Linked DNA regions of Notamacropus eugenii. The protein of the gene in region 2 purifies or fractionates together with the protein of the main gene of each other region. This does not show direct contact. Links are inferred from orthologs where the notes say so. Each region holds a gene or a part of one and is shown on either strand. Other genes may lie near its edges. The genes, in order: DNAJB11, tubulin alpha-1A chain, HAX1 and dnaJ homolog subfamily A member 1.

What was found.
Region 1: the proteins of tubulin alpha-1A chain (region 2) and DNAJB11 purify together in Homo sapiens (affinity purification with mass spectrometry; 3 studies listed by BioGRID and IntAct, counting the BioPlex papers as one, with this or other methods). This does not show direct contact. The link is inferred for Notamacropus eugenii from reciprocal best matches to the Homo sapiens genes TUBA1A and DNAJB11.
Region 3: the proteins of tubulin alpha-1A chain (region 2) and HAX1 purify together in Homo sapiens (affinity purification with mass spectrometry; 3 studies listed by BioGRID and IntAct, with this or other methods). This does not show direct contact. The link is inferred for Notamacropus eugenii from reciprocal best matches to the Homo sapiens genes TUBA1A and HAX1.
Region 4: the proteins of tubulin alpha-1A chain (region 2) and dnaJ homolog subfamily A member 1 purify together in Homo sapiens (affinity purification with mass spectrometry; 3 studies listed by BioGRID and IntAct, with this or other methods). This does not show direct contact. The link is inferred for Notamacropus eugenii from reciprocal best matches to the Homo sapiens genes TUBA1A and DNAJA1.

Annotation. Positions count from the first base shown.
Region 1 is NC_092873.1:55,002,559-55,010,359, forward strand, and holds the start of DNAJB11 (dnaJ homolog subfamily B member 11), read right to left. Parts: upstream 3,005-7,801; 5' UTR 2,558-3,004; coding exon 2,490-2,557; intron 1-2,489. Other genes in the region: TBCCD1 (TBCC domain-containing protein 1), read left to right, coding at 5,852-6,187. UniProt on the Homo sapiens protein: As a co-chaperone for HSPA5 it is required for proper folding, trafficking or degradation of proteins.
Region 2 is NC_092874.1:221,086,160-221,093,820, forward strand, and holds the start of tubulin alpha-1A chain, read right to left. Parts: upstream 3,007-7,661; 5' UTR 2,705-3,006; coding exon 2,702-2,704; intron 551-2,701; coding exon 328-550; intron 20-327; coding exon 1-19. UniProt on the Homo sapiens protein: Tubulin is the major constituent of microtubules, a cylinder consisting of laterally associated linear protofilaments composed of alpha- and beta-tubulin heterodimers.
Region 3 is NC_092873.1:378,176,432-378,183,312, reverse strand, and holds HAX1 (HCLS1-associated protein X-1), read right to left. Parts: upstream 3,011-6,881; 5' UTR 2,905-3,010; coding exon 2,499-2,904; intron 2,401-2,498; coding exon 2,219-2,400; exon of another isoform or gene 2,072-2,218; intron 1,725-2,071; coding exon 1,673-1,724; intron 1,495-1,672; coding exon 1,388-1,494; intron 1,281-1,387; coding exon 1,190-1,280; intron 692-1,189; coding exon 606-691; 3' UTR 392-605; downstream 1-391. Other genes in the region: UBAP2L (ubiquitin-associated protein 2-like), read right to left, coding at 5,399-5,494, 6,355-6,405, 6,816-6,881. UniProt on the Homo sapiens protein: Recruits the Arp2/3 complex to the cell cortex and regulates reorganization of the cortical actin cytoskeleton via its interaction with KCNC3 and the Arp2/3 complex. Slows down the rate of inactivation of KCNC3 channels. Promotes GNA13-mediated cell migration.
Region 4 is NC_092874.1:312,841,990-312,849,696, forward strand, and holds the start of dnaJ homolog subfamily A member 1, read right to left. Parts: upstream 3,004-7,707; 5' UTR 2,714-3,003; intron 1,778-2,713; exon of another isoform or gene 1,692-1,777; 5' UTR 1,683-1,691; coding exon 1,551-1,682; intron 1,322-1,550; coding exon 1,144-1,321; intron 1-1,143.

The DNA.
Region 1 (7,801 bases), on a different chromosome or scaffold from region 2:
TTCTACACAGACTTCCACAATTCAATGACACTTAAAAACCTTGAGACACATTAATGCTTTATTTCTAAGTAGTGGTGAGATTATATTTACTTATAAGGAAGACTTAGTGGTGCTCAGGCACCATCTCCAACCAGACGCCTTTCCTAGTGTTCTTCAGTTTTTCATATTCTCTTCTTTCTCAAATTATTCAGTTTGGCTTCTCTCTACATTTATTTTTAACCCCTCAGAATGTAAAATCCTTGGGAACAGAGTTTTGGGTTTGTTTTTTTTAATTCCCACTGCCTAGCAGAGTACTTTTCACATAGTAGATACACTTCTTCTGTGCTGGTTGAGTTGAAAAAATAGAACACTTTGGAGGAAATCATCTCATGGTACTAAAGAAATGACTACCTATGACCTCCCATAGAATCCTAAAGCGGTAAGCACCTTACTAGATCATATTGTCTGGTCCCCTGCCTTCATTCAGACACCTTATTATCCTCATTCTACAGATAAAGGGAGGGTAACATCTAAAAGGTCACACAGCTAATAAATGATGGAACAAGGACTAGAACTCAGGTCTTCTGCCTCCAACTGTGCTCTCTGCACTACTTCACACTGGCACTCAGAGGTGGCCTAGACAGGGACACAAGGAACTCAAGATGCTGATGATGTCCAATAAACTCCATTGGGTTTGGGAAGGACAATGGTTCCCAAAGGTTCTCCCTTCCTTTGTCTCAGTGTAGTTTGTGTCTCCGTTACACACCACTCAGCTTGACAGTCACTCCTCAGCTTTTTAAAAAGACATTCCCTCCAGAGGGGAAACATGACATCAACTCCCTTCTCCCACACTAGTCAGTCTGTCCATAGGCCAGTCCCCCAGTAAAGGGGAGCACAGACCTGTGACTCGCCCATCAATTTCTCAGCTCAGCTCCTTTTCACCTCCTCAGTCTTCCACTGGTCATGCTCCCTCCTACCCCAGAACCACAGAAGAGGAGTTGGAAGGACTCTAACCTTAACCTGAATAAGACCCTGCTCTCTTGCAACATTAACTTATAAATCTGGTTACTGAGCTTTTTCTTGAAGACCTTACTGCCTGCAGTCCATAACGTCTGGAGGCCTCCGTCTCACTTTCGGATAGCTTTAGTCATTAGCAGTTTTTATTCTTGTTTTTTCCCTTTTCCTCAGGGCTCAAGTAGCCACTTTGCCACTTCTGCCTGCTGGCTCCTAATTCAGTCCTTCGGGGCCAAGCAAAACACGCTTCTGTTCCCACCTGACAGGTAATGACCACGGCTCCTACAAGTCTATCTCCAGACATTTCTAGTAATGCACCTGCCACGGACCCCTCCTCATAAGAGCCCTGCCCCACCCCAGACAGTCCTACCCCCCTCAGCTCTCTCTTAGCATGGTCCCCCTATTATGCACCCCAGACAGTCCTACCCCCCCCCACCTCTCTTAGCACAGTCCCCCCACTCTACCTCCCCCAGGCAGTCCTACCCCCCTCACCTCTCTTAGCACAGTCACCCCACTCTACCTCCCACAGGCAGTCCTACTCCCCTCACCTCTCTAAACATGGCCCTCCCCAGGCAGTCCTACCCCCCCCACCTCTCTTAGCACGGTCCCCCCACTCCACCTCCCCCAGGCAGTCCTACCCCCCCCACCTCTCTTAGCACAGTCCCCCCACTCTACCTCCCCCAGGCAGTCCTACCCCCCCCACCTCTCTTAGCACAGTCCCCCCACTCTACCTCCCCCAGGCAGTCCTACCCCTCTCACCTCTCTTAGCACAGTCCCCCCACTCTACCTCCCCCAGGCAGTCCTACCCCCCTCACCTCCCTCAGCACGGCACCCCCCAGGCAGTCCTACTCCCCTCACCTCTCTAAACATGGCCCCCCCAGGCAGTCCTACCCCCCTCACCTCTCTAAACATGGTCCCCCCCAGGCAGTCCTACCCCCCTCACCTCTCTCAGCACGGCCCCCCTACTCTGCCCCCCAGGACGCCCCCACTTTCCTCACCTTCCAGTCCCGTCTCCCTCATCCACTCAACCTGCTCAATCCTGCCTCAGGCCAACCTCAGTACCGGATGTGACCCCCCAGGACGGGCTCCCTCACCTCTCCCCCAGCGCCCCCCAGGTCCCTCCTTCCATTCCTCTCTAGCCAGGACGGGGAGCCCAGCCCCCTCCCTTCCTGCTGGCACCGGCAGCCCTGCCCCCCAGTCCTGGACGCTGCCCCCTCATCCCCTCCCCCACCACAGAGAACCCTGACCTCTCAGTCCTCAGCTGCCCCCAGCAAAGCTCCGAGCCCCTCCACCCCTGCCCCCTCAGTCTCTCCCTCACACGGCCCCCAACTCCTTCCCCATCACAGCCCTGCCCCCCCTCAGTCCTCAGACCCCCTCGTCCCCTCCCCCATCACCCCCAATCACCGGCAGCGCTTCCCTCCCTCAGCCCCTCAACCCCCCCGATCCTTCCTGCCCCGCCTCCTCATGCCCTCCGCGCCGAGGCTGTCTCTCCTCACCCCGCCATCACGGCTCCGAGCATGTAGAGCAGCAGGAGGCACAAGCCGCCCAGCCTATGCGGGGCCATGGTCAGTCTCCTCAGCGACAGCCCGCACCTTCTTCCCCTATCCCGGGAGTCCCCGCTCCCCGCGGGAGGCGGGGCCGATGCACCGCCAGGCCAATCAGTGACCAGGGCATCAGCGCGTGCCGGCGCAACGACCAATCACCGACGGACACTTCAACGCCTAGCTCGCGTTCCCGGGAGGGACGGACCCGGAGAGCGGCATCCTAGGGTCGACCAATCACAGGCGGCAGCGTCACCGGCGTCGCAGCGCCCCCTCCTTTTTCCCATAGAGATACGCGGCTCTCGGATTGGAGCAAAACGACGGACTGCTGGCCAATTGCGGGCAGTAGCGCTTTTCGTGAGCCCCGCCTCCTGTCTCGCTTTGCCAATCCCTAAAAGCGATGGCTCGTCTTACCTAATCCCGAACCAATCATCGGGAGTTTTACGGCAGTCCTAGACTGGGACACAGGAAGGTTAGGTTTTTTCAAAGTCAGGGCTGGACTGCAACTGAATCTTTACTGAGCCCTCACCACTGATACAGACTTCCGAGGGGGGCATTGTCAACGTGAGAGCCGAGAAGCACCACGTGATCTCGCGGCAGACCGGGCCGAATTCGTCTCGCAGGAGCCTTCCGAGGCCGCTCCAGATCTGCCGGCGGACTGGAGTGTCTCCTGCTGTGCCTGCGCGCCTGCGCCGTGGCTCCCCTCAGCCTCCGCAGAGGAAGCTTCTGCGCAGGCGCTGGGGATGTCGGGGCAGTCCCTCTCGTCCCGCCCCCTGCTCTGCCTCGGGCGGTTCCTGCAGGTAACGTCCAGGGCCGGTGGTCTGGGAGGGTGGGGGTCATTACGCCTTCGGAGGGCAGTCCCAGGTTGACCCATGATACCCCCCCTTTTAAGAGAGGCGGGCTCCAGAGCTCCCCATTTGAGGGGGATCTCAGGTTCTCCCTCAGTTGTGGGGGGTCATCCCATGCCGTCCAATTTTAGGGGGCCCCCCGGCCTCCCCTTTTGAGGGGGATCCAAGTTTCTCCCCATTGGAGAGGGAGGGTCTCAGATTATCCCCATTTGAGGAGGGGGTCCTATGGTCTCATTTGCTGGGGCATCACAGCTTCTCCTGTAAAGTGGGGGGTCATGCAGCCCCCCAATTGGGGTGGTAGTGCCGTCTTCCTGGAGGTGATCCCACGGCCTCCTTTGGGGGGGAGGGGGCTCGGTGGGCTTCCCTCTGGAGGTGACAAGTTGGGGGATGGTCATGTGGCCTTCTCGAGCGGGGAGCAGGGAGGGTCCGGTTGGGGAGCGCCCCCCCTAACATGGGACCCAAGTCTGTCTCCCTGACCCCCCCAAGTTGTGCCCCTGGACTTGCCTCGGGTGGGAATCCCAGGGGTCCAGAGGATCCCAGAGGCCCTGGGGAGATGGGGGAGGGATTGGAAGCTGTCTCCAATTGTACAGCTTGCCCCTTCAGCCTTAAAAGGCACGATCCTGCCCCTCCCAGGATAATTTCAAAACCAAACCAAAGGAGAAAGTTTGGAGTCGAACTTCTCATTCAGGGGGGCATATGCGGGAAGCCAGGGGACACCAAGCAGGAAACTTGTATTGACCCTGAAATCTGTTTCTGCTCTCATCAATTGATCCAAATTGTGCCCTCAGGAATGAAACACAACCAGTTTCATCCCTTTTCCTCATGACAACCTTTCGAGTATATACAGACAATTGTCATGTTCCCTCTGTGTCTTTTCTTCTCCAGAATAAACATGTCTGGTTCCCTCGTTCCATTCTCAGGTGACAGACGGTTTCCTTTAGCCTCTTTGTTGTTCAGGTGGTTTGTTTTCCAAAGATTCCAGAGGGGAAAGATTTCAGCACAATGGCCTGGTTGATGTGTGCTTAAGAAGTAGAATTCATTCCAACTGTGTGAGCTTCACCTTGTGAAGCTTTTCTATTGTAGTGGTCAGTGCTGCCATCCAGCCTGCACCGCCCTGCTGCATGCCTCACTTGGTGTCTCTGGTCCTTGGGTCACTGAAGATGGTCATCTCTTGTGTCTTTCAAAGACTCTTGAAGGACTTTTTGTATCCCCAACCCTTAGCACGGTGCCCAGCACGTAGGAGATGTTTGATATGTGCTTATTGACCGACTGTTTGGATGGGAGACACCATGTAGGAGAGAGCCTTGTTCAAAGTGGCATTTTCTTCTGCCAAATCACAGGCTTTTTAAAAGCCAACAAACACCTTAGATGCAGTCATTTGTGTAGTGGTAAAGATGTGGTCCAATGGAAAAAAACACTGGTTGTCAGAGGCTGCCTGTTTGCTGCTAATCCCCTCGATCCTGAGGATGCCAATGATGCCTTTGGGGCTGATTCTCAGGGAAGTTGTAAAGTTGGTACCTGGGTGGGTGGGCAGCAGCCACCAATGTTCTCTTGCTCACCTGTGTTTGGTATTGATAGGGGCTGAGATTTTGTTTCCCACCATTGATATTTCCCCTCCTTGAAGGGAAATCCCTCATCACCCTCCTAATGGTGCTTGCTTTGGTGTGTGCCTCCTTCTTGCACTCTTACCTGAATCTAGCCTTCTTCTACAACCCTAAAAGCCCAGCCAGGGTCACTGTCAGAGTCCAGGCACACTGACTCCACTGTTGCAGACGGAGAGAAAATTTGATTGTGAAAACTTTGGCAGCTTTTCCGTTTGTCTTCTGGGCTTTGTCACCTTTAATGCCCTGGAGGTAACTGCCTCCTCTGCTCCTGGCAAACTCTCTTCAGGCTGGCTTTAGTCCCCATAATCTTTCATTCTTCTTTGTGAGATCATCTTACAAGAGTATGATCATAGAAGACTCTGAGGTCTATAGCACACAAACTGCTTTTAAACCATTTCCATGATCTGATGACTTCCTCCAGCCCAACAGGACTTTATAATACCTCTGTGACCTTAGGCAAATCCCTTACTTATAAGATGAAGGGAGTAGACTCCCCGACTGAGTTTCCTTCTAGTTTTAATTCTTTTATCTTATAAAATCATTGCATTAATTTCAGCCAAACACACTGGGTTTCTTGTGGGCTGGGCACCTTGTGATAGAGGATGGCTTGACCAAATAGGCACAAACGGCTAGCATGGACCATACAGGTAGGAATTGTTTTGTTAAGTAGTCCCAGCTGCCTGTAATTCAGTATAGCCAAACTGCCGGCCTTTCTGTGCTACTTCATTTAAAAATAGTTCACTATGTTGTCAGCGCCTCAATGATAAATGTATGTATGTTTTTGTTTCCAGTTAATTTACACAGAAACTTTGTTTCCTAGATTTGCAAAGGAGCCTCTTGAGACACAGATGGTGTCTGAGTTAAAATGGAGCAGTCAGCTGTCCACCTGTGGGTGAGAACAGAACCGTTTATAGTGGGCACTTTGCCTCTCCCTCCTCCAGCCAAATTCAGCCTTCATTATCTCAGAAAGATATCCACATATGTTCGAACCCGAGCCAGGGAGGGAGGTTACCCACGCCTCTTCTGGCCCACATGGAGGCACATTGCCTGTGGGAAGCTACAGTTAGCCAAAGACATTGCTTGGCTTTACTTTGAGATCTTCGATAGTCTGGTGCCAAGGACCCCAGAGGAGCGTCTGGAATGGGCTGACCTGATGTCTAGCTGCACGTGTGAGGAGGATATGGAGAAGCAGAGGAGTAAGGTAGGCCTTTGGGCCCAGTATTTTGGGGTTCAAACAGGAGAGAAACTATCTTTTCTACAATTGCAGTGTATAGGTTGGGGAGGCCATCAGAGCAGTTGGCAGTGAGGACCCCAGCGTCTCTGGTTCAGAATTAACCTTAGCCCATCCCACATCATTGTAATCACCTTCTCCAGCAGCAGCAGAGCAGGGATCCCCATGGAGAAGGAAAACAGTTTGGAGTGGGGGGTGCTGGGCAACACACTACACTAATTGTAAGGTGGGAGCACACATAGGAGGGCTTCTAGCACATTCACTCTTGATTCAGACAGACAGTAAGACAGGAACAGAGACATAATAAGAGATTAAATATTACTTTATTCTGGTCTAAGGATTGCTGATAATGGAAGCACCAGCTCCTATAGCTTCCCTACAACTCTTCTCTCAGGGACCGGTGAGAATGGAAGTTCCAGCTCCTAGCATCCCCTGACCCTTGATGGGGGCTGGTCAAGGAAGGACACATGTATTCCCCTTGAAGATTCCCCCTAATCCTTGATGGGCGGGCCATCATGCGCGTACAGCATTCCAGCTTGTGCATTCCCCTCTAAGCACAGCATTGCATTGTCAGATTCTCCGCTTACTGACCAATGCCCCCTTGATTTATAGGGTAACAGACAAAGAAGGCAGTTTGCCAGCAATAACCTCCCGAGTTTTCATTATCTCATTTTTATATCTTATTGCGCAGTCGCAATGGATATTTATAACTTTAAGTACAAATGTTTATGTATTTTATCATTATATAATGCTGTGCAAGTGTGGTGGAGATATTGACAAGCCACGAGCCTGGGAACTAGAGATTATTATGGCCATGATCCTGGGAACTAGTATCTTAAGAAGAACTAACAAAAATCCACCTTCCACATACTTACAGCTTCTTAGCCCAGAAGTTGTAATTATTCTTTCTGTATAGGAGTAGTTTGAAAATCTCGTTAATTTTTCAAATTAAATTCCTTTAAATGCAGAATTCTTGGGAGCAGGGCCAGCTCCAGGCTTTGGTTTTATTGATAGAGGAAATTTTTAGGCAGCTTTTGTCTGTAAGAGCTTCCTGGAGTACTAAGAGGTGGATTTCCCTGTAGGAGCAAATATGTACCAGAAGCTTCAATCCCCAGATCAGGTCAGGTCAGATCTTTCTGACCCTGAGGCAGCTCTGTCCTCTCAGTCTGGAGCATATCACACAGTCATGTGGATAAACTTAAAAACAACAAAAGCCAGAAATGTTTGGTTGTCCTCATGAAGTGACCCAAATTGCCTAAAATGTCAGGTTGAAGCTACCTTTGAGATTCTGTGGGTCAGCTCTTTGGTGATCAATAAAAAAAAATCAGACAGGTAAAATAACTTGTCTGAGGCCACCCAGTCAGGTAGTGACCAAGCTGGGCTTAGATTTCATGTTTCCTAACTTCCACAATTTACTCTGTGGCCCTATTTTTTCAAGGTGCCTTATGTAAAATAAGTGACATTGGAGAGTCAACTAAAGAACTATTGCTACCTTGTGATGAGCTACAAAAAAAAGAACAAGATGCCAACTTCAAATTTTGACTGGGAAACTGAAATGAAGAAAACTCTGGAGGGGAAAATGAG
Region 2 (7,661 bases):
GTTCCAGTGCGAACTTCATCTGAAAGACAGAAAGAAAGAAAATTAAAAAGGTGTAAAATCACCAAGGTAAGAGTCTTTCTGTCTTCTCTTACTAACTGCTAAGGTAAAGACAAATGGTCAACAATCAAAAGGAGATATTTGTTACATTTTAAAAGTTTTCCTCAAGATTTTACATGGTCAGAAACTGAAAAGAAGCCTATAAATAGTCTCATCTCAGACAAATGGAATTACACAAAATAAAAGTTTAATTTTAGGATTGGTTCATTATAAATTGACACTGACAGTTTCAAATTTCAAGAGGATTTAGGGAATTGTAATTAAACATACCAATGACAGTAGGTTCCAGATCTACAAACACTGCTCTGGGGACATGTTTGCCAGCTCCTGTTTCACTGAAGAAGGTGTTGAAGGAGTCATCTCCTCCCCCAATGGTCTTGTCACTTGGCATCTGACCATCAGGCTGGATACCATGTTCCAAGCAGTACAGCTCCCAGCAAGCATTGCCAATCTGGACACCAGCTTGGCCAACATGGATAGAGATGCACTCACGCTGCATAAAAACAAAAAAAAAATTAGAAGAAATTGTAAAATTAGACTTGATTAAGATATATAACTTTTCTGTTATTTTTATAAAAATATATTTCTATTCTTCAAGTTCACCTGTGAAATTGACATTTATTATATACATATTAGAAAGCAATCTGCTATAAGGGTTATAGTTGGGCGTGGCCTGAACAATGCTTTGTGTTGGCTGCAGCAGCACATTGTCCAAATCTATTGTTCATACTGTGAATAAATCATATAAAAATAATAATTTGTGGAAATGTTAGAAATATTTTCTTAGAGAATAAACACAAGTCAAAGGTTTATGGATTTCAGTTTAATTGTGGATTACATGATAATTGGTCTACCACACTTTATTTTTCTTAAGTGAAATATTTTCCCAAGATCTAAGAAAGCTTAGTTTCCACCCTACCCCTTTCTCCTTAAGAGCAGGACCCCCATTTTAGCAGGATTTTGATATTTCAATATAGCCATCTGCTTTATTGCTGAAAAGGGGAGACCACACCCAATCTGGGAGCACTCGACCCAATCAGAGCTAAAATCAATAAAAGCTAGCTGTCCCTTTGCTGCATTGCTGCATTTTTTCTGCCTAGTGTCTGCTTTGCACCTACTGTATTATTTAACATAGCCATCTCTAATTCCAGCAACTGGCTGCATGATCTCATTATATTATTTTGCCAGTTCTCTTCTGACTCCTTCTGGGACCCTGTGTGTGAATAATTGAAATGAATCAATGAAGTGACACCAGAACAAAAGGTGGTCTCCATATTATATGCCAGAAAAGAGGAAACTAGAAAGATGTAATTCTTCTTTGTCGACCTCAGTATTTTATTGTTTTGTCTTTAATTTTCTCCATGTAATATTTTCCAAACATTTCTCTGCAAGTGCTTAGAAAAAGACAGCCTTTCAAAATCAGAATTCCTGAATCCTTCCCAAACTGAAACAACATCAAAAGAACAAAAAAAAAGCCTAACAACCCACCAAGATCTCACAAGGTTTGGTTTGTTTCAAATTTCTGGTGCATTTCAATATATCCTGCCTTCTGTGGAATATTCTGATCACATCCACTAGAGAGTTCTCTTTGTCTCGATCTTCTTTAGGGCACCCATTCTACTGTCTATTCACTGACTTGATTTCTTGCTGGGGTGGAAGAGGAGACAGGACAGCTCCCCAGGGTCCTGAAAGGACCGCACTTTACCCTGACTTGAAAAATGAGCATCTTGTTCACTCTGGGTGAGTTGTCAAGGCAGTAAACCCTTGGGGTTTGCCAGGCTGAACTGAGATTATCTCCCCAGACCTTTCGCAACTTTTTTTATTTTTTATCTTTGGGTGGGGAGGAGAAAATCCACAATCCTCTCAGCCATTCAAAAAGCCTACTTTTATGTGATTGTTAATCAAATTTATTAAAAGACATTTTTCCCCCTTACAAATAATAATAATAAAGATTTCCTGCTCAAGAGCATAGCGATTCCAAGGAGATAGACACACACACAAAACCCGACGAGACTCCGCCCTCTACTCCACCCTTACTCCCCCTACCAAAAGTACTAACAGAAACTAGCACTTTACGGGGGAAATGTGTATTTTTTTTTACGTGACATATTCTCATTTTTATTGGTTTGGTTTTTATAAACCCTGTTCTTTGCTTAGTCTCTCCAATGACCCAGTCCCTATCCCCCGCACCCCACCCCACTCCCGCCCCACCCAACACTGCAGTCAAAGGGGAGGGGGATGGGAGCAGCCAGACTGAAAGTAACACGAACACATAAATATACATGAGGCAGTGGAACTATCGCCGGTTCCCAGCCTCAGGACATTGCATCATCCCAGACAGATGGCCTGCAGTGACCAGCCCTATGCGGCACTGAAATGTCGCTAACCATTACTCCCAAACCCCTCCCTTCTCCTTTGTTCTTCCTTCTGGTTTTTCGGCCGCCTGCCCCCAATTCTGGTCCGCACCGCCATGTCTGCGTACTAAGGCTTAAGAGCAAGAAATCTGATACAGGCACAAACAAAGCAGCTGTCCTAAGAAGCTGCAAAGAAAATGGACTTGAGGTTCGCAAGCAGCACCACCAACAACCTTCACTGCGCTAATATCCCCTAGGGAGGACATAAGAAAGGAGATCGGGAACCTTACCATGATTGCTGCTTTGCGGCTGCTGTCGATGGGTGAGAAGAAGAAGAGAGGTTGACGCTTCTTACAGCGCGACTCTTAGGCGGTCGATGTAAGAGAACCTACTGCACATGGTCCAATACAGCTCCCTATATACAATTCTGTCACCATGGGGATGGGCTAGGGCTTTTTCCAGTTGGTCCAGACCCCTCAATCTGCCCGGAGAAGCCAAGACCAGAGAATTGTGATTGGTGCACACGACATGGGATGAGGTAATCTCTTCCCCACCCCTTTTTCTCTAGCATCCATAGACTGTTTGCATCCTTCAGACAAAGAGACCAAGCAAAGCAGTTAGCCAAGCAAGCATCCATCATAGGGAGTGGCAGGAGAGGGGTGGGGGTGGAAGAAGGGGAAAAAAAGAAAACTGTGGTTGGATGAGTTTATACTGATTAAACCACAAAACTACACCTTTGTAGGAGGATTAGTTCTTTACTTAAAAAGCAGAATGTCTGTGTTGAAGTAAAATAATGAACAACCAAAAAAAGTGACCTCAGGCCTCTTTCCCTCTTTTAGGAAATAAACTGCAATAGCCATTAGGTGAGGGTGAAGGTTGAAACCTTTTTGTAAGCTTTAAAAATGAAGTGTGAGAGGAAGTGAAATGAAGCTTGAGAGGACCTGGGGAAAGAAGATTATTTGTTTTTAAGTTGCATCTCTAACTGTAAATTTATTGCAGATTTATTTCCGAACCATTCCAAGGTATTTCTGAGCCTTGTTTTATGACCAAGGAAAATGATGGACAAGCATAAATGGAAAAAGAATTTAATCTAAGAACCAAATAAGAAGTCTCCACAGGAACCTGTACCAAAAAAAAAGTCTTATAAGAGAATGATCTAGGCTTACTGAACATATTTTGAAATGGGAAGAAAAGGGAATAGTTTCTACTTAAGTAGAAAATGTTCCTTTAACAGCACTCTGTTTGAACATATTTTGTATGTTTTATTGCATCTTAAAAGAAATCAACCTTTTCTGATTCACCACTGAAGAAAATAAAATAAAAGAATGATTGGCCATGACATCTCTCCTGTGTGGACAGTTAACGTTTATTCTTCTATTTGCTGGGAAAATAATAGGTACTGGAGAACTGAGACCACCATACAGGACAAGAGGTGGGATGAAAAAAGAATACTTTACCAGACAAGAACGAACAACTTGGAATTTATGTAATCAGTTATCTCAATACACTGAAATTTGTAGCTCCTATGAATTAGCTATGTATGGGGGGGAGGGGTGTTGTGCCTTGGATATGTGTGTTGGCTATTGGTATTATAGGTACATATTGCTTTTGAACAATAGACTCTGAATTGCTCAAAAGCCTCATAAATAACCCAGACAGTCTCTGCTTCTTTTCAGAAATCAGATCGCTGTTCCTTTTTTGGGGAGGCTTTGTAAAAAGGGCATGTTGTCAATATTGCTAATGCAGAATTAATGTTGAAACTAGTACTACTTTGACAATGCAGATGAAAAATAAAAAAGGAAAGAGGTTAGTTATTTTATTCACTTCAACTCACCATACTTTCTTCTTGAGCAGATACTGTTTTTTTTTATTCTGTCAGAGACATATTGGATCTCCAGTCACCATGTACAATGTTCTGCAGACCCCATTCATTCCCCAAGGACTAGGAAGCAGGGTGTGGCATAGAGAGAAGAAAGAAGGGCCAAAAAGAGACAGCTGGTGCAGGTTGTATTCTAAGAAAGGCAACCAGCTATTTTTCTAGTTTGTAGTTCACAGATTTTCTTCATCAGGTCAAATTCTCTACATATAGGAAAACACTACAAGTTTATTTTATCTGTTTCTTTGAGATTCTATAAAAAGAACAACTTCAACATCTAATTTTGGTTTCATTTCTTTGTCTTTAGCTAGGTTTTAGTGAAAAGGCAAGACTGAGGGAAAGCTATAGAATCCCCTATTATCCCAGATATGCAAGTGACAATTAGAATAAAAATTAAAGGATACACATTCGCTGAATTTTTGGCTCAGGTGTTTCTTTGAATAATTCTGAGAGTGACAAATTCCAATGCTATTGAACTACTGCATTGCGTACAGTTCCAGTCTCCTGTCTGGATAAAGGGGCACCGCCCTGAATTTGATTTAGTTATGTGATACAAAAGATTAATGAATAACCATACTATCTTCCCAGTTCTTCGTGCAGTTTACAGGGAACTAAATAAAAAGGAGGGAGAATTCATAGAAATGACTTCTTTGTAAATTTATCTCAGAGCTGTTATATACTTTATGTAAATGAACTTTCTGTTGCGTATTAGTAACAGTAAGATCTAGGTCAAGAAGAGGCTCCATTTGAGTGAGGCTTGTGGCTATTAAATATTTAAATGGTAGAGCAGGGAACTATCTAATCTATTCTATTTGCTTCTCCTCATCACACTTATTCAACGTGCAGATTGTGGCAAAAGAAAAGAAAATATTTGTGTAAATTTATGTAATTTTTGGTGCCAGTTTCCAACTTGCACTAACAGATTTTGTTTTTTGCTTAAGGACAGGCAGTGTCTACTACTACCTATGTAAACTTAGGCTAGTAATTTAAATTCTCTTGGTCTCATTGTCTTTATCTGCAGGTTGAACTGCATCATCTCTGAGGTTCCTTTGTCTAAATTCTATGGTTCATGCTTGTAAGTAGAACAAGTGAAGCAGGAGGGAACCTCTCTCTGTGAGTTTTAACTTGATTTTTATAACAACATTATTAATGATTGAAATATTTTTATTATAATATTACAGTGAGAGGAGAATTGATTATGAGGCCCCTGATTTCCCTCTAGCCTAGCTGATGAAGTTACAGAGTATAAGGTACAAGGAGGCAATAAGGTATTAAGGTCTTAAATGACATCCAAAGAAATATCTCTATTTCATAACCTAGATCTGTGATATAGGCCTATGATCTATAGTTTTAGAACTGTGGATGTACAGAGTACCTTGAAGTTGGGGGGGGTCTCTCGTCCCCCAACCCAGCCAGTGAGTATGAGTTGGAGGGGGTAGCCAAAAGGAGGGTTACATATGACATATGACTAGCAAAGTTGAAAAGATTCCTTCATCAGTCAGGGCATGGAAAAAGAACAATGGAAAAGAACATGGAAAATTGCAATATTCACAAGACATCCACCCCATTTGAGTCACCTTGTATATCTAAAATTACACTAACAATTGGTCGTCTGGTCCTTCCCTGAGCATAGGTATCTGCAAAACATTAGGCACAGGGCTAGGCATAGGTAGTGCTCAATAAGTATTTGATTCCACCATTTTTTTTGCATTGCCATATTCTTGAAGCATAACTTGGTAGTTCTGGTAGGAAACAACTTGGAAACTATTCTATCCCTCAGCAACCCACATGTGACACATAGCTCACTGCCCTCATTCCTGGGGAAGCAGTCCTCAGTCTCCCTGGGAGGGTTCTACAGAGTTTGGCACACAGTAGGTACTTAATAAATGTGAGTCTCTTTCCTTCAAGCTCAATGAAATTAGAGTGGAGCTAGGCATTGGCTGGCAGAATGAATGGCCATGCTCCCTCTCCAACTTTTAAAAATCAAATTACACTAAGAAATGAGTCAAGGTAGGTGTCAACTCTGATGAGTGTGGGCTGTGGCATTTGGAAAGAGAGCAACCATGGAAGAAAGATCTACCTCTTGATAGGAAGGAGAGGATGTCTCTCCCCACTCCCACTGACAAAAATCTCTTACAGCAGAGCTGTTTGCTTAGTAGCACACAGACACACAGCAGGGAATAGGCCCAGAGAACCAAGAACCAAGCAAAGCAACATGCCCTGCAGAAACACCATGCCCAGGGTGGGACAATGTAAGAGTATCATGAGAAAAGGAATGATGTTAGGGTCCTGCAGTATTAGAAGCATGAGTTGTCTTGGTCACATGTATTCTCTGTATGCCTCTCTGTTAAGGTTCTCTTTGTGTGTGCCCACAATATTCCCCCAATTTGGTTTTTTCTCCTTAACAGTATTTTATTTTTTCCAATTACATATAAAGATAGTTTTCAACATTCATTTTTTTATAAAATTTTGAGTTGCAAATTTTTCTCCCTCCCTCTTTCCCAAGATAGTAAGCAATCTGATATAGTTGTACATGTATAATCATGCTTAACATATTTCCATATTAGTCATGTTGTGAAAGAAGAGTCAGAACAGAAAGGAAAAAGCTATGAGAAAGAAAAAACACCTCCCCCCCAAAAAAGTGAAAATAATATGCTTGCATTCAGACTCCAGAGTTCTCTCTAGATGTGGATAGCATTTTCCATCATGAATCTTTTGGAATTGTGTTGGATCATTGTATTGCTGTGAAGAGCTAAGTCTGTCAAAGTTGGTCATCGAAAAATGTTGCTGTTGCTATGTACAATGTTCTGGTTCTGCTCACTTCACTCAGCATCACTTCATATAAGTCTTTCCAGGCCTCTCTGAAGTCTGCCTGCTCACCATTTCTTACGCAACAATACTATTCCATTACATTCATATACCACAACTTGTTCAGCCATTCCCCAAATGATGGGCATCCCTTCAATTTCCAAAATATTTTTGTACATGTGGGTCCTTTTCCCTTTTTTATGATCTCTGTGGGATACAGACCTAGCAGTGGTATTGCTGGGTCAAAGGATATGCATGGTATTATAGCCCTTTGCTATGACCCTGATTTGTGAGGGCAGTGTTTCACAGCTACTGTTTTTACAATGCCATCTCAGTAAATGGCTTTGTTTTAATATTATTGAGTCTCCTGGTTAAGCTTTTTTTAAAATTAAATTATTTTATTTGTTTTTAGTGTTCTACAATCACTTCCATATATCTTAGATTTTTTTCTCTCCCTTCCCCTCTTTTCCCCCTCCCTCCCCACTCCATCCCTGAGATGGCATACAGTTTTATATAGATTCTATACGTACATTCCTATTAAATACATTTTCACATTAGTCATGTTG
Region 3 (6,881 bases), on a different chromosome or scaffold from region 2:
GTCCAATGACCTCCAAAGCCCTCTGAGCCTATGATCCTATGTGAACACTGAAACAGAAAAGATTGAATAAACTGCCTCCTTAACCTCTCTTTAAGTCCCTGGTCTCCTCTGCAGGCCCTCTCAAATAGCCAGCATTTGATAACGTCCATTACTTTTTACTAAATGTACTAGGTTAGAACTGCTGTGATTTAAAAAAAACTTTTATGCTAGTAACTTTATTTCTTAGTGAGGAATGTTCCTCACTAGGAACATTAATACTTGATTCAAGTACAGGAATACAAGAATATTTATACTTGATTCTCATTCATTCTGAGGTGGGGGCAGATCAAAGAGAATCAAAAGGCCCAGATGGGCCCTACAGGGAGCTGGACACACCAAGAGACTGAGGCAGTAGCATAAATAAAGATTTTATTTGGGCGGTGACAAGGGGGAGAGGAAATGAAGAGTACCTCTTTCTTTACCTGTCACATTTCCTACCCCTCCTCCCCCATACCCTCATTGTGGCAGGAAGATCAGCTGAGCCAGCTGGTGATGTCAGGAACCCTAGATGGTAATGAGCAGGCCAAGGAGGGGAGGGATGCAGTCCTCCATGAAGTCATCTTGGGCTACCAAGACCGGAACCATCGTCTTAGGAATGAATTCAGGATGGAGGAGCTGTCCCCCAACTCTGGATGTTGTGGGGTACCTGAATCTAGAGGAGAATTAAATATCCAGGCAGGAAGGAATGAACCAGAAGTGTGTCAGATTGAGGATCCTGAATTCTAGATGCACTGGCCTGTTTGCTGGAAAATAACTTTCATCCCCCCAGTTCCAGTCCTTTTGCATGGGTTGATCCCCTTGCTGGGTTGAGTTCTCTCTCTGAGGAAATAACTCTGGGTGCTTTTATTTAGTTATCTGTGTACATGTGGTTACCCCAATTAGAATGTAACTCTCTTAAGGGCAGAATAGTTTTATTTTTGTCTTTACCTCCCCAGGGTTTAACACAGTAATTGGTATTTAATAAAGGTATGTTAAGTGGATTTAATTGAGAGGTCAAGAGGGTAAAGGGGAACAGGATATAGCCTGATATAGTGTAGACTGGAACTAAGGAGAGCAAACGGAAGAGAATTAGAACTCAGCTTCTCCTTCAAGGGCCTTTCACCTCTGTAGCTCAGGGATGGTCTCACCATTGCCTCTCTCTTCAACTCACCATCTCTAGAACTGCCATCTGCTTCTCGACGAGTTACTGTGGTTTCTTTGTGGCCCTCACTATCTATGACGGTGCGCCGCTCCTCTACCACCTGTGGGAACAGTTATCCCACATATTCAGGATCAGAACAGATGACATATTCCATGGACCCCAGCCCTTCATGATCCTCCCACCCCCAACCCACCCCATCTAGCTCACCCCATCTGGTCCAGTTATTTTGGTAACGGAAACGCTTCTGAAGTATGATTTAGGCTGGGGCTCTAGGACTTGACCCAGGCCCTCCTGTGAGACCCGGGAATCAAGATCTGGTTTGGGGGGAGGGGGGGGTGAGAAGAGATGAGGCATTAAAAAAAGTCGTGGAGGGGTATCAGATACTCAGAAAGCAAGCTGGCAATGTTCAGAGATAAGAAGTGAACTTGAGCGCAAGGGTCTGAGAAGGTAATCAAGGACCCCTTGTGGCCCTGCCCCTTCCCTGGCACATACCCTTGTCCTCTCTGGTTGTAGCATCAGGAGTCACTGGCCACATGTCATCAAACTGCAAAAGAAACCACAGCTGATGAAAGGGGTCCCTTCTGGTCACCTCCCTAACTCCATCCTCTGCCCCACCCCGCTTCCTGAACTACCCTCGCTACCTTGGGGCCCCCTGTGTATGGTGACAAGGGCAATGGACGTGAAAGCAGGGGACCTGGGTTTGAAGTCTGGCTCTGCTCCCTCGCGTCCTGTGGCCTTGACAAAGCACAAGGCCCATCCCTTTGTCTGCAGACTGGAGGCCTCGGAGGCCTCTCTGCCTTCTGGGGGTTCCTCCCCGAGGCTCATCACTCTCCACCCTGCCAAGCTCAGCTCCTGTCTGGCCTCCTGGCGCCCCGGCACTAATGCCCTTACGTTTGCAGCCGGGCTGGACCATCCGTCCTGGAAGCTGTGCGCTGTCTCCTCATTAGACTAAGAGCTCCCTGCACTGAGGAACTGCGTCCCCCGGATTTCTCCCACATCCCCGAGGTTTGGTGGCTCTTCCAGGGGAACGGGCCTCACCCCACGGAGTGGCCTCTTGGAGTCCCAGTCCGGGCCCGCTTTGGGAGATGGACGCCCTGGCCCGCTCTCCGAGTCCCGGCTGAAAATCCTAGCCTGGTGACTATCTGGGTACTTGAGCATCGAGTCCCGGATGGTCTCGCCCTCCCTCCGCCTCCCGTCTGGGCGCTCCGGGCCTGGGAGCTCTGCAAAAGGGCAAAGGCACGTCAGGGCCCGGGGGGGGGGGGGGGGGGGGGGGCAGGAAGCGTGTCTCCTGCCTCCCAGCGTGCGGGGCTTCACGCACCGGGGGCGCGGGAGGGCAGGGTCCAGGCCCCCATGTCTCCGAAAATGCGGTTGAAATCTCGAATCAGCTCATCAAAGCCAAAGTTATCGTGGAATCGCATCTCATCTCCAGGCCCGAAACTAAAGCCAAACGTGAAGTCCTCGGGGGCCCCAGGGCCGCCGAACCTGGAGCCCCACGCGCCGCCCCCTCCTTCGTCCTCCTCGTCCTCCTCATCCTCTTCTCTAGTCATGCCTCCAAAGAAGGGGTCCCTGGGTCTGGGAGGCAGAGAGAGAAGCACAAGGACGTGGACACCGAAAGGGCACCTAAGCGGGCCGGAGCCCGGGGGAGGCTGGGTTTGGGGCGTGTGTGTGTGCGTGTGTGTGTGCGTGTGTGTGCGTGTGAACATGCGAGCGAAGACTGTTGACATCTAGACATACACACAGCCCTTCCCCTGTCTCTCCTCACCCCCGCCACCTGTTGCGACAGTTTGGACGGGTGCACCGTACAGTCAGGGGGCGAAGGAGGGAGATGTCAGGGGCCGGGGTCCCCCTCCGAAGGCTCCCCCCATTTTTTTAACCGTCCGGGCCCCACTCTCACCTCTGAGGCCCCGAGAATCCGAAAAAGCCCCGGAAAAGGTCGAACAGGCTCATCCCTCAGGCGGGACTCGAACCCTCCACCCGCCCGCACCCCAAGGCCCGGAAGGGCACCAGACGGCGGGGATCCACCACACTGCCGGAAAGTGATCTTATCTTAGGACTGTGGGGGCAGAGGGCGAGGGAGAGGGGAGGTTTCGATGCGGCCACACTGCCGAAAAGCGAGAGAGCAGTACGACCGTACTGCCGGAAAGCGAGGAGGGCAGACGGACCGACTGCGCTACTAGGGTAGTTGCGACACTGACGGAAAAGTAGTCACACTGTCGTAAAACGAACGTAAGAGCCCGCTCGTGGGAAGGAGGGAGCGGCGATGCCGGCGGGGGCAGGACCAAGGAGCGGGCTGAACTGTAGGAGGGCCGGAGGAGGGGCACATCCGGGTCGAAGTGGAGGAGGAAGCGGTTTTACTCCCGCGGAGATCCGTGGTTCGGTCCCCGGGGGCTTCGTGAGACAGGTGGCTGTGGAAGCAGAATCTCCGGATCCTGCCCTCCGGCTGCTCCCGGGGAGGTCCTGCAGCCCAGCTCCTGCCCCCCAACCCTGCCCCTTTAGATTGATGCTCCCGGCCCCACCATGCTACAGAGCCCAGAAAGCCTGCGTTGTGTGAGGGGAGGCCAGAGTAGCCGGTGCAACAGGAAACCCAGGACCCCTCGGGTTGGAGTTGCTGAGAGCTCGGGCAGGAAGGAAGAGGGCTGGGGATCGGTCTGGTCAGGAAACCTAAGCCAGACAGTGCAGGGCCTCGGGCACAAAGCTGCTAGAGGCGCCCTGCTCCATCCACCCCCGCCCGCTCTGGCAGCCCGAAAGCTCTCCAGGATACGCGGGCCGAACCCAGATTTCCCTTGGGACAAACAGGGCAACAGTTCCTGCTGGAAGGCGCAGGGAAGCCTCATCAGTGGGGCCGAGAGAACAGCTCTGGGGGTTGGCAGAGGCTGAATCAGAACAGGACAGGCCACGTTGGAGCACGGGGTAAAACCCTCGAGATCGAGGTGACGGTCTCCAGGGTGCCTGTCGGCTCTGACGTTCTGAAATTGATTCTTGCCAGGCTGATACGTCTAAAAGCAAGATGGACAAGATGTCTTCAAGGTGCATTCTGTGTTTACCAAGGCAGATGGAGACACGAAGACAGACTTCCTCCATCCTCCTCCCTAATTAAATTTTGTAGCCACAAGGGGGTTAGCTTTCCGTGGGCCCCGAGGGTAGCACAGATGTGGAAGTAAGGGGGAACGATGGTGAGATGGAAAGGGAAGCTGGAGTTGCGGTGGCTAGGGGGAGGGGTCGGATGGATTTATTGTTCACCCCGCCCAAAGTGTACTCTGTATTTCCACTCCTTTCTACCTAAACAAGACCCTTCCCAGAAAATCACAAACTGATTCTGCCAGTGTTGTGTACCCCACTCCTGGGTGCTTCCCAAGTAATATGTTTAGATCAGCCCATGTTCCACTGCTTTACTGTGCGAAAACATTGTTTCCAACCCAGTTTCTCCCCACTGCCCTTCTCACTTCCTAGTTTAACACTAAAGGTGAAGTGCTTCTGAGAATTGAGCCGAATGACTCAGTGTCAGGAAGAAGGGGACACCGGCACATCATGGTTAGGAGTTGTTAAAGGGCGAAGATTTCATTTTATTCCACTGCCTTCGGAGCCTGCTAGTAGAGGCCCAGTTGGTACAGTAATACTTATTCACCCAGCTGGTCATCAGGGAGACTGAGGACATCCTAGACGAAGCAAGAATGGGCAGAGGCTGAAGGTAGAGGTTTTCTTTTTATATATACAAGACACATTAATCCATTAAATTTGAGGACACAGTACAAAAAAAAAAACCACTTCAACTAATTCATCTGACAAATCTGTTCATATTCATGACTTTTTTTGTTTTGTTTTCCTAATAATAAAAAGGGAGACAGGGCTGTTAGGCTGATGATATCTATCTGGAGTCCTCTCCCCCAGCCACTTCCCACCACCAGGGTGAGCAGGAAGAGGAAGAGGAAGGCCAGAGCCCACAGCAAAGAGTTTCATAATCTTGAATGCGGGGGTAGTGTGGGGAGAGAAGAAAAAAGAGAAAGGAAAAAAATACAAATCCTATATTACATACAAGAGGATAGGTAGGAGAGGAAAGAAAAGGGCCTTCAGAAGTGAAGCTGAGGCCTGGGGCAGGCTGCGGGGGGGCAGCAGGACCCTCCACTCCACGTGCTTTTGTGTTGTAGCTGTTTCCTTAGGTGCCAGGCTGAGGCCCTCTCGGCAGGTAGGGGGGCCAAGGAGGTGAAGAGGGCCAGGGCCTCAGTTGGCCCCCCAGCTGTAGCTGTTGTAGGCAGACTTGCTGCTCTGGGGCTTCTGCGGGATGGAGCTGGTCTGGCTACGTTGCCCGCTGCCCGTCTGCAGGGGAAGGGATGTTGGGGTTGGGGGGGGAGGGAGGGAGGACAGGGAGGAGAAAGGAGGCCAATTAGCAGGGACCTTTGGGTGGGAAGGCCTGGGAACTGTCATGTTCCTCCATTTCTCCTCCTGCCAAAAGACCACTCAAAGGCTACACTTTCCCTTAAGCCCTTAATCCAAAGAAGTTGTTGTCTGCATAATCGATGGAACCCTTGGAAGTTCTAGTCCCTCTTCGGTCAGCAATAGCATAATTCTGATTTCAAGACAAGAAAATGCAGAGGGCAAGATACCTTCAGAGCTCATCTAAGGGACTAAGTCAGTTTCTGCTCATTCTTCATCTTAACCCTCCACTTCACCAAAAAGGCCACTCATCTGGAAAAAGATTCTCAGATGAGTGGTCAAAAGAGCTGGGTTAAACTGATTTTGATCCCTGTGACTCCTTATTTGCACTGCCTTAGAAACAAGGGAGCACTACTTTCTGCTGTGGAGATAGGGCACTAAAAGAATGGGTTCCATAACACCCCTTCCACCCCCCATCATATCACTGGACCCCTATATACTGAGCAGGGTAGAGAGGGGAGACTTGTCTAAGGCTTCCAAGATTCAGATGCTTTCCCAAGAACCCTATCCACTCTAGTAGCCAAGTGCCTTCTACAGTTGGGAAGAGAGAAAAGGAGAGGAGGAGAAGGGAAGGGGAGGCCGGAGAGCCCAGCAAAGTGTGTGAGTGTGTCTATGTGTGTCTGTGTATCCCGATTTGTGGCCGCGCAATCTTTCTTCTCCTTGATTTCCCCAGGGCTGTGGCATGTGGGGTTTGGGACTGGCAGGGGGTAGGTACAATTATATCATTCAGAGAGTTTCATTACCTGCTCCTCCTGCTGGCGCTGGCAACAGAGAATCATCTGCAAATATGGTAGCTGAGGCAGAACCAGGATATATGGAAAATAAAGGGACAAACTTTGACAATAGAAATCCATGGTTAGAAGGGAAAGCTATAGTGGCAGGATTGGGGAGGGGTGGGGCATGGTCCAGGGCTATTGGGAAAATATAGGGGATGAAGTGTGCCACAACAGGGAGGGGACTCAAACCCCCTCCAGGTACCTATCGGGCTGAGCAAAAAGCTCCCCAACCTGGCCCCCTCTCTGTCAACTCCCTTGCCGGCCGCTTGTGTCGTGTACGCTTGTGTCTGTGTGTGTTGTGTGCCCATGGCCGGCGCTGGGGATAGATGGGGAAAGGGAAGGGAAGAGGGAAGGGGGAGGCAGCTTTAAGGAGTGGTAGGGAAAAGGATCAGTGGGGGAAGAAAGACAAGAGGGGAACGGTGTGTTACCTGGCCATCCTGCTGCAGATGGTGATGGAGGATCTGGGAGTGTGGCTGCTGATGGGGGGTCAGGAT
Region 4 (7,707 bases), about 92 Mb from region 2:
GTTTTATCCAAAAATTACATCAGATGACAACTATCTTTTTCAAAGGAGGGTTAATAGATTTCTACCAAGGTGATGTGTATGGAATTATCCTTACCTATTGTTATTTCTGAATTTCAGAAGGTATCTGGCAAAGTTAATCAATATTTCATTGTTGACTAATTGTGAGATGAGCTACATGGTAAATATGTGGGTAAAATCTACACTCGGTGATTAGAGCTAAATAAGAAGACGTGAATATAATGGAATATTACTGTGATATAAGAAATAATGAAATTTTATGTAATGTATAGGTATGTATATATACATATATACACACATGTATGTGTGTACACACACACATATATGCTATAGCTTGGGAAGAAACTATAAAGACCACCATGAACTAATTCAGAGTAAACTAAACAGAAATAAATTTGATGATACAACAGTTACAACACTCAGAGAGAAAAATAATCAAGATTTTGAGAACTCTGATCAATACAAAGAATGATAAGCTCCCCAAGTCCAGAAGACTGAGGATGAAACACCTCTCCTGCTGCAGATGATAAAAAATGCAGCTACAGACATACAGATGCACACGACCACGTTTTGCACAAGGACGGTACTAGATATTTGTTTTGGTGGACTACAATATTTTGAGGGGGTTTTTTCTGTTAAAAAAATTAATAAATGGGATAATGGCCACAATGGGGAGGTGACAGCAAAAGCTCACAAAAAACCTCAACAACCAGACTCAGAATAGTGATTAATAAATAGATCAATGTCCAACTGGAAGGAATTCCTAGTTGAGTAAGCACCACAACATTTTCTTTTTACCTAGTTCTACTCAGAATGTTGTCAATGGCTTAGAGATGGCATGCTTTTCAAACTGCAGATGACATGAAGCCAACAAAAAAGGGGTCATTTATGTCAAGTAACATCAGGCATTCCCCCCAAATCCAAATAAATTAAAACTGGACGCTGAGGATTAATTAACACTGGGGGGGGGGGGGGGTTGTTTTGTTTTGTTTTAAACCTCTACAGATATGTACAGGACAGGCGAAAGGTGCCTATCCCGTGAAAGTGTTCCCGTTTTAAGGAACTCCAAGGACAACAAAGCCATTGTTTCACTGCCATCGCAGACTCTCTGAAGCCCCTGCTTACCTCTCCGTTCGCGCTGCATTCTCCCACCTCCTCCAAAAAACATGTCAAAGATGTCCATGGGAGAGCCGAAGCCACCCCCGGAGCCGCCCTCTTTGATGGCCTGCTCTCCCCCTTTGTCATACAGGTCTCTCTTCTTGGCATCAGAAAGCACTTCGTAAGCTTGAGAGATCTGCTTGAACTGTAACAAGAGGCCACAGTGTAAAGCAGGTTCTTCTAAGGTGCAGCCAGGACCTAGGTTCTGGTCACGTCACATTTCACACAGATTCGTCAACCCACTGACACGGACCCTCAAACCAGACAGAACACAAACCCAAAGCAGACCAGACAGGACAGCGGTCATCAGAGGATTCCTCTTCCTCCTACTTTCGGTCCCCACTAAGACTCTTTAAAAAGGAAGCACCACTCGCCTTCTCTCCCTCGTTCGGGTTCTTGTCCGGGTGATACTTCAGGGCCAGCTTTCGGTACGCCTTCTTCAGCTCCTCCTGGGAGGCGTTGGGCTTCACCCCCAGGACGTCGTAGTAAGTCGTCTCCTTCACCATTTTTACAGTCTGCACTTAAAACCACAACCTGAAGGCACTTAGAATCGATTGATGCCAGCTGATCGATTACGTATTTCTGAAGGTTTTACCCAAGCCTTTGAACCAAGAACTGGGTCACGTTTCATAACCCTAACACCTGGGCACACCTGGGGGCCTTTAGGGACCGTCCCAGCCCTCCTGCCTCTCCCCAAGGCCGCCTCCTACCCGGCTACAAGACAAAGAGCCGGGGGCCCAGGCCGGTGGAGGGCTCGCCACAAGCCCCCGCCCGGAGGCGCTTCCCCGGATCCCCTGCTGCGCCCTCGGAGGCCGGTCCCCCACCTCCCACCTCCCCGGGACGCCCCGCCCCGGGGCCAGGCTCCCCACCACGAGGTGAGGCCCCCAGTTAAACGTCTGGCAGGTCATCCTCGTCCCCCGACCCACCGGGGCCGCCTTCGCCTCGGCCCCCCACCTCTCCTTCCAAGGCTCCCTTTCCGGGGCGCCCCCCCCCGAGATCACGGTCTCCTGACCCGCTACGTGGGCGCTGCCTCCCCCCGCCACGCTCGGCACCCCCACAGGAGGCTCGCGGCCCCGACTCGAGGTCACGACCTCTATGGGCGCTCGGGGATGGAGCTCGCGTGTGTGTGCGGCGTACCTGTACCCACGCGCGCGCGCGCACACGTACACTCACCATCCAGGGCTCCTTCGGGGGAGGTTGCGGGGGAGCGGGGACGCGCACGCAGACAAGAGCGCGCACACAGCGCCCCCGTACCCCCGCAAATAGGTGCGCCCCCCCCAAGAACCGAAGAGACCGGAGTGGGGGGAGGGGAAAAAGGAGAGAAGAGGATGGGGGGAAGCTACCGACATCGCGGGGGGCGGGGAGGTGGCGAGGAGGCCAGGGAGAACGCCAGGCCCATTGTTCGGCGCCCAGGCTGCAGAGCGGGGGCAACACCCCTCGGAAATCCGGGGCCCCGGCCCCCGCACCCCGGGAGAGGCGCCAACGGCCTTCCCGGCTCTGGCGGGAGAGCCGAGGTGGGGGGTGGGGATGGACTTACCGGGGAGCGACGCTCGCCGTACGCCCGGTGTCGATGCCCACGTCCGGGGTGGGGTGAGAGGGGACCGCCCGGGAGCCGGTGGGGATGTTTGGGGATGGAGTGGAAGGAAGACAAGATGGGGGAGGGGGCGCGAGTTCTTGCGCGCGGAGCTCGGGCAGCGGCAGCTGCTGCCCTCCGCCTCTCGCCGAGTTTTCTGGAAAGTTCCGCTCGCGGCCGCGTCCGGCGAGTTTTGTAGCCGAGCGGAGGTGCGTCACTCGCCGGAAGTCCCGCCCCGCCCCGCCCCCTCCCGCTTCTCCCCCTCCCTGCGGCGGTTACTGGGGTAACGGGGGGCGGAGGCGGGACTCCGGAATATTCTAACGGGGGAGAAGGTGGAGGTGGATGATGGAGGCTGTTCGGCGCTGGCGCTGGGGAGGCGGGGGAAAGGAGAGGCCTAGGACCCGGGGAGAGCGAAGGTTCTCGGCCCCGTCCCCTCCCCCACCTCCCGGGGCCCGGGGAGCCAAGCTAGGGCTGGTGGGCCTAAGGAGGCCCCGGCCCAGGCTGGCGATGGGGAGGCGGGGGAAGGGAGAGGCCCAGGGCCCCGGGAGACCGAAGGTTCTCGGCCCCGTCCCCTCCCCCACCTCCCGGGGCCCGGGGAGCCAAGCTAGGGCTGGTGGGCCTAAGGAGGCCCCGGCCCAGGCCGGCGATGGCCCCCGTGGCCCCGCGCCCGAAATCGAGTAATGGCTCCCGGATCCTTCCGCCGGTTTCCCCGTTTCTCCCGATTTTATCAGGCCAAAGCCTCCGGGTCCCCGGGGCTTAGTGAGGATTGTCATTCACTTTAAGTCAGTAGATTAATGTTGAGGGCGATCCCAACATTTCTGCCTGTTAGAAAATGGTATAAATTTGAAAAAGGGAGACTTGGCAAGCACATTTCAGTAAACAAGGAACACCTAATGGGGCAAAGCACCCGGGAATTTCGGATTAACTGGGATGGGCCTCCGGGTTTGTGGCCTTCTCTCCAACTAGGTTTGGAGTGACTTCACTTGGGTAATCGATATCTTACTGCTTGTCTTCTCATGGGAGAATTGGAAACTCAATTTTTTTAAATGTTAAAAGAGTTTTAATGTCATCGGGAAGTATTTAATGGGCTGAATTAAAATATGTTCAGAAAGAAAGAAATTATCTCCACCCTATTTGTAATTTTAAAATCTTGGAAGATGTCCCGGGGCCTGAGCACCCGGGGGTGGCAGAGATTCCAGACAGGTCCCAAGGATTCCCAGGCCAGTTCATTTTTCCTTATACCAAAAAGCCTTTTGGACATTTGAAAGAAAAAAATACATTTAAAAAGCCACTAAGGACAGCTTCCCTGCTGATGTATTTGTTGCCCACCTTTGGTGTGCTGGTCAAGCCTGACACCTGTCTCCTTTTGAGGCCATCAAGAATAAGTCAAGGATTTAGCTGAGGGGGCTGAGGAAATTGAGCTGAGTCTTCCCGGGCCAATTAATTTTAAGGATGCTTTTAATGAAAAATAAAGTCTAAACTACAAGGCAGTTCGGGGCTATCAGGCCACTTACATGACTAGGGCTCCTACTAGACAGACTGATCTTCAGGGTGTGAGAGGCCTGGGGTAGGAAAGTTACTGGAGGAGGACCTTGTACAAGTAAATAAACACTAAAAAAGAAAAAAATGGCAAACAGTTCTGTGTAAGTGAAGACTAAGTCCCAAACTTTAATAATCCCCTGTGGGGAAGGTGATTGCCCAGTGTGAAGCATGCACAGGAAAATTACCAGGACCATCTAGGCCACTGCATAGGTGGTATTTCTAACAGTCACTGATCCTTCTCACAGGTGAGGGTCATTTGCAGCAAGGTAGCGAAGTCTCCATTGCAAACTCAGTGCTAGTGTTGATAATGAGATCATCTTTGTTACTACCACCACCTTCTCCATTCCCCAGATCACTATGGCATCTTCTTCCCGGGAACCCGTTGTAGGGCAAGGAGGGAGAATGCCAAATCTGTGCACCTTTGGGGGCCTGCGCTGAAGAGCTGCTCTTTTCTTCACTGATGGCCGGATAAAGACTCCCTTCTTGCCATTCCAGGAATTCAGGTTTGCTACTAACTCAAGGATGCCCTTTCTTCCAGGCAAATCACACATTCGTCTTCATATGGTTCAAAAGAAAGACACTTCCCAGCAACATGACTCCATCTCCCAGGAACTTTCCAAGAATGATTTGTCTGAACTATCCCTAGGAAAAAGAGACTTGCCAATTGAGGGAGAACTGAACCATTTTCCCAGGATAAATGGAGCCTCTTGAGGGGGCAAGAACTTTTAAGAGTAAGGACTCTCAGCTGGGGATGGAATAAAGAAAGGTGAGAGAGGGTCAACCAGAACTATATCCAAATATTATCTGCCCTGATCAGTTGTCTTCCTGGAAGCTAAATCTGAGAAATTACTGAACTACAGAACTCCTTCCTTCCTAGGGCAACAGTGATGTGACAACTTCTGGGAGATATGGCACCCACCTCTCTTAGGGCATGATGACAAAGTCATACAAGTCTCACTAGATTTTTACCATCCCCTCATGCTATTATCCCTATGTCTCTCCTCCCTTTCTCCCATTCCTCGAAAATGCCTTGCACATAGAGGTACTATTCTTGACAAACTGAAGAGCTACCCCATCATCGTAGATTTGTTGAAGGAAGAAATAATAGGGCAAGATGAAGTGAGATGAGAGTTGAAGAAAAGCCACTCTTGTTGAATAACCTCAATTTTTTCAGTAATGTAGGAGTTGAGATCCTCAGTAGGGAAGGTGGGGATGGAGGAAGGCTCTGGGAGATATGAGAGGGTTAGGTATACCTGCTGTGGAAAATGAGATGGAGAGTTGACTAGGAAGAAGTAGAATGATTACCTTGCTGCAGTGAGGGTCTATTTGAGATTATATAACTATTGCAACTAATGTGGTCTTAGGATTTCCTGCAGTTCTAGTTAACAGTACATGAATAGGAGGGAAGGAGGAAAAATGTAGGAGTGACTGAAAGTTGAGTTTCGGCAAGGTGTTGTCAATGGTAGGACAAGGAGCAAAGGATTCAAGAGTATAGAGCTGAATTGTTCACTAAGGGTTTAGATAATGAAAACAGGAGAAAGTAGCTGGTGAAAAGGTAATAATCTGTGAAAGAACTTAGGGATGGAGGGAATGGAGGTTATAGTGAGGATGAAAAACATAGTAATACATAGGGAAAGATAAAGTATAATGGATTTTGATCAGAGAAATTTTGGAACTTAATTTTGGAACTAAACTTTGGAAATTAAGGAACTCTGAAGTGGAACACTTGTGGGTGATGGCAAGATCAAGGATATGATCACTTTTTTGTGTGTGCAGCTTAGGAAGAATGGAAGGAATAAGTCATACGAACTGAAATAGAAGTCAGGATATTTGAGGGAGCATCAATATACATATTGAAGTCCCTTAATGAGAATGTAAGAGTTAGGATGTGGAAAAAGACTATGAACCATGAACTGAATTTATTGAGTAAAGAAGGATAATGTCCTACAGTGCATTAGATAACAGCCATCAGGATCTGGATCAGGGGATAAATTTGGAAATCATGATCCTCAAAGGAGGAGATCCTGCTGAGTCATAGTGATAGAAATTGAGTCTAGAACTGGTCATGAGGAGCAAGAGGCACTCATTCCAACGGCTACCATAGCCAGTGAGTCAGAGGTATGAGTGAAATGCAACTAATATTGTAAAGGTTGTAGAAGGAAGCAGAGCTAGCAAGTGGAAGCCAGGTCTCAGTACCAGATGGAAGGAGTAAGAAAGAGTTTTATATGAAAGGAAGACTGTTAAAAAGGGAGCAAGCATTTCAGAGAGCATAGTGCAAAGAGGTGTGGTGAATATGAAGTAAGACATTGGCTTATGTTGAGGTGTGTGGGAGAAAGCAAGCAAGCAGGCAGTTGGGGTTAAGGAATAGGGTTAGTGTATTGGCAGCATGCTGGAGAAGTGCCTTGAGGGTACTGGAGGTTGAGGGGATCTTATCTAGTAGCATAGTGCTAGAAAAGGTTCTAGAAGCCAAGAAAGTTGGTGAGTGGTTGGTGAGGTCTTGGCCTGGGTTGGATTGGCTGAGCCAAGCAGCAGGAGAAAGCTCTGGAGAAGGCTAAGGACCAAAGTCAGGAGGCCATTGATATGATCTTGGCTAGCTGCAAGATACATGTAAAACACAAGGTTCATGTACAGTAATATTGATGGTCCCAGTTGTAACAACATATACCCCAATGATTTCTCTCGCTAGTTGACTGACTGACTAGATTGAGGGGATGATAATGCTTTTTTTCTCTCCCATGGGAATTCAAGGTTTCATCTTCTCCCATCTCAAGTTAACTGAAAGAGAAAAAAGTCTCCTGTCTCTTTAAGGGCAAAAATCCCTCCCAAACTCTCCATCATTAAATAAGTCAGTGATAGTGATTACCATTTTTTTTTTAAATATCAGGAGTAATACATTTGTAAGCAACAAAAAGACAATAATTATTTGAGGAACAGTTCATTGGAATGCCAGTCCCTGCATAGCAGGTTATAGAGAACAGAATTGGCTTTCCCCCTTCATTTTTCTCCTCCCTGAGAAAGGAAAACAGGTAGTGAATACTTTCAGTAGTGAATAGAGCATAGAAATCTAACACAGAGGAGAAGAAAAGGAAGGTGAGAGGGACTCGTGTGTATGGCTTACTAGTCCTCTGCAACCTGCTGCTTCCTCTAGCGTTGTGTGAAACTGTTCCCATCCCTTGGGCTCCCCAACATCCTTCTTGGATCTCTTTTACGGCAATGGTGCTGCACGTTTATGCTATTTTTTCTTCCTGAATATTCCGGAGGCAATACCTTCCCTGACAGCCTTCCACTGTGGTAATGTGGTCTCTTTGCTCAAACAGCTCCAAAGCTTGGCCAAAATGGATTTTTCTCTTCCTTCCTCAGCATTCTCCACTAACTCCTATTTTAAACGTCAGAGGTCTTGTAAACTGGGTAAAAAG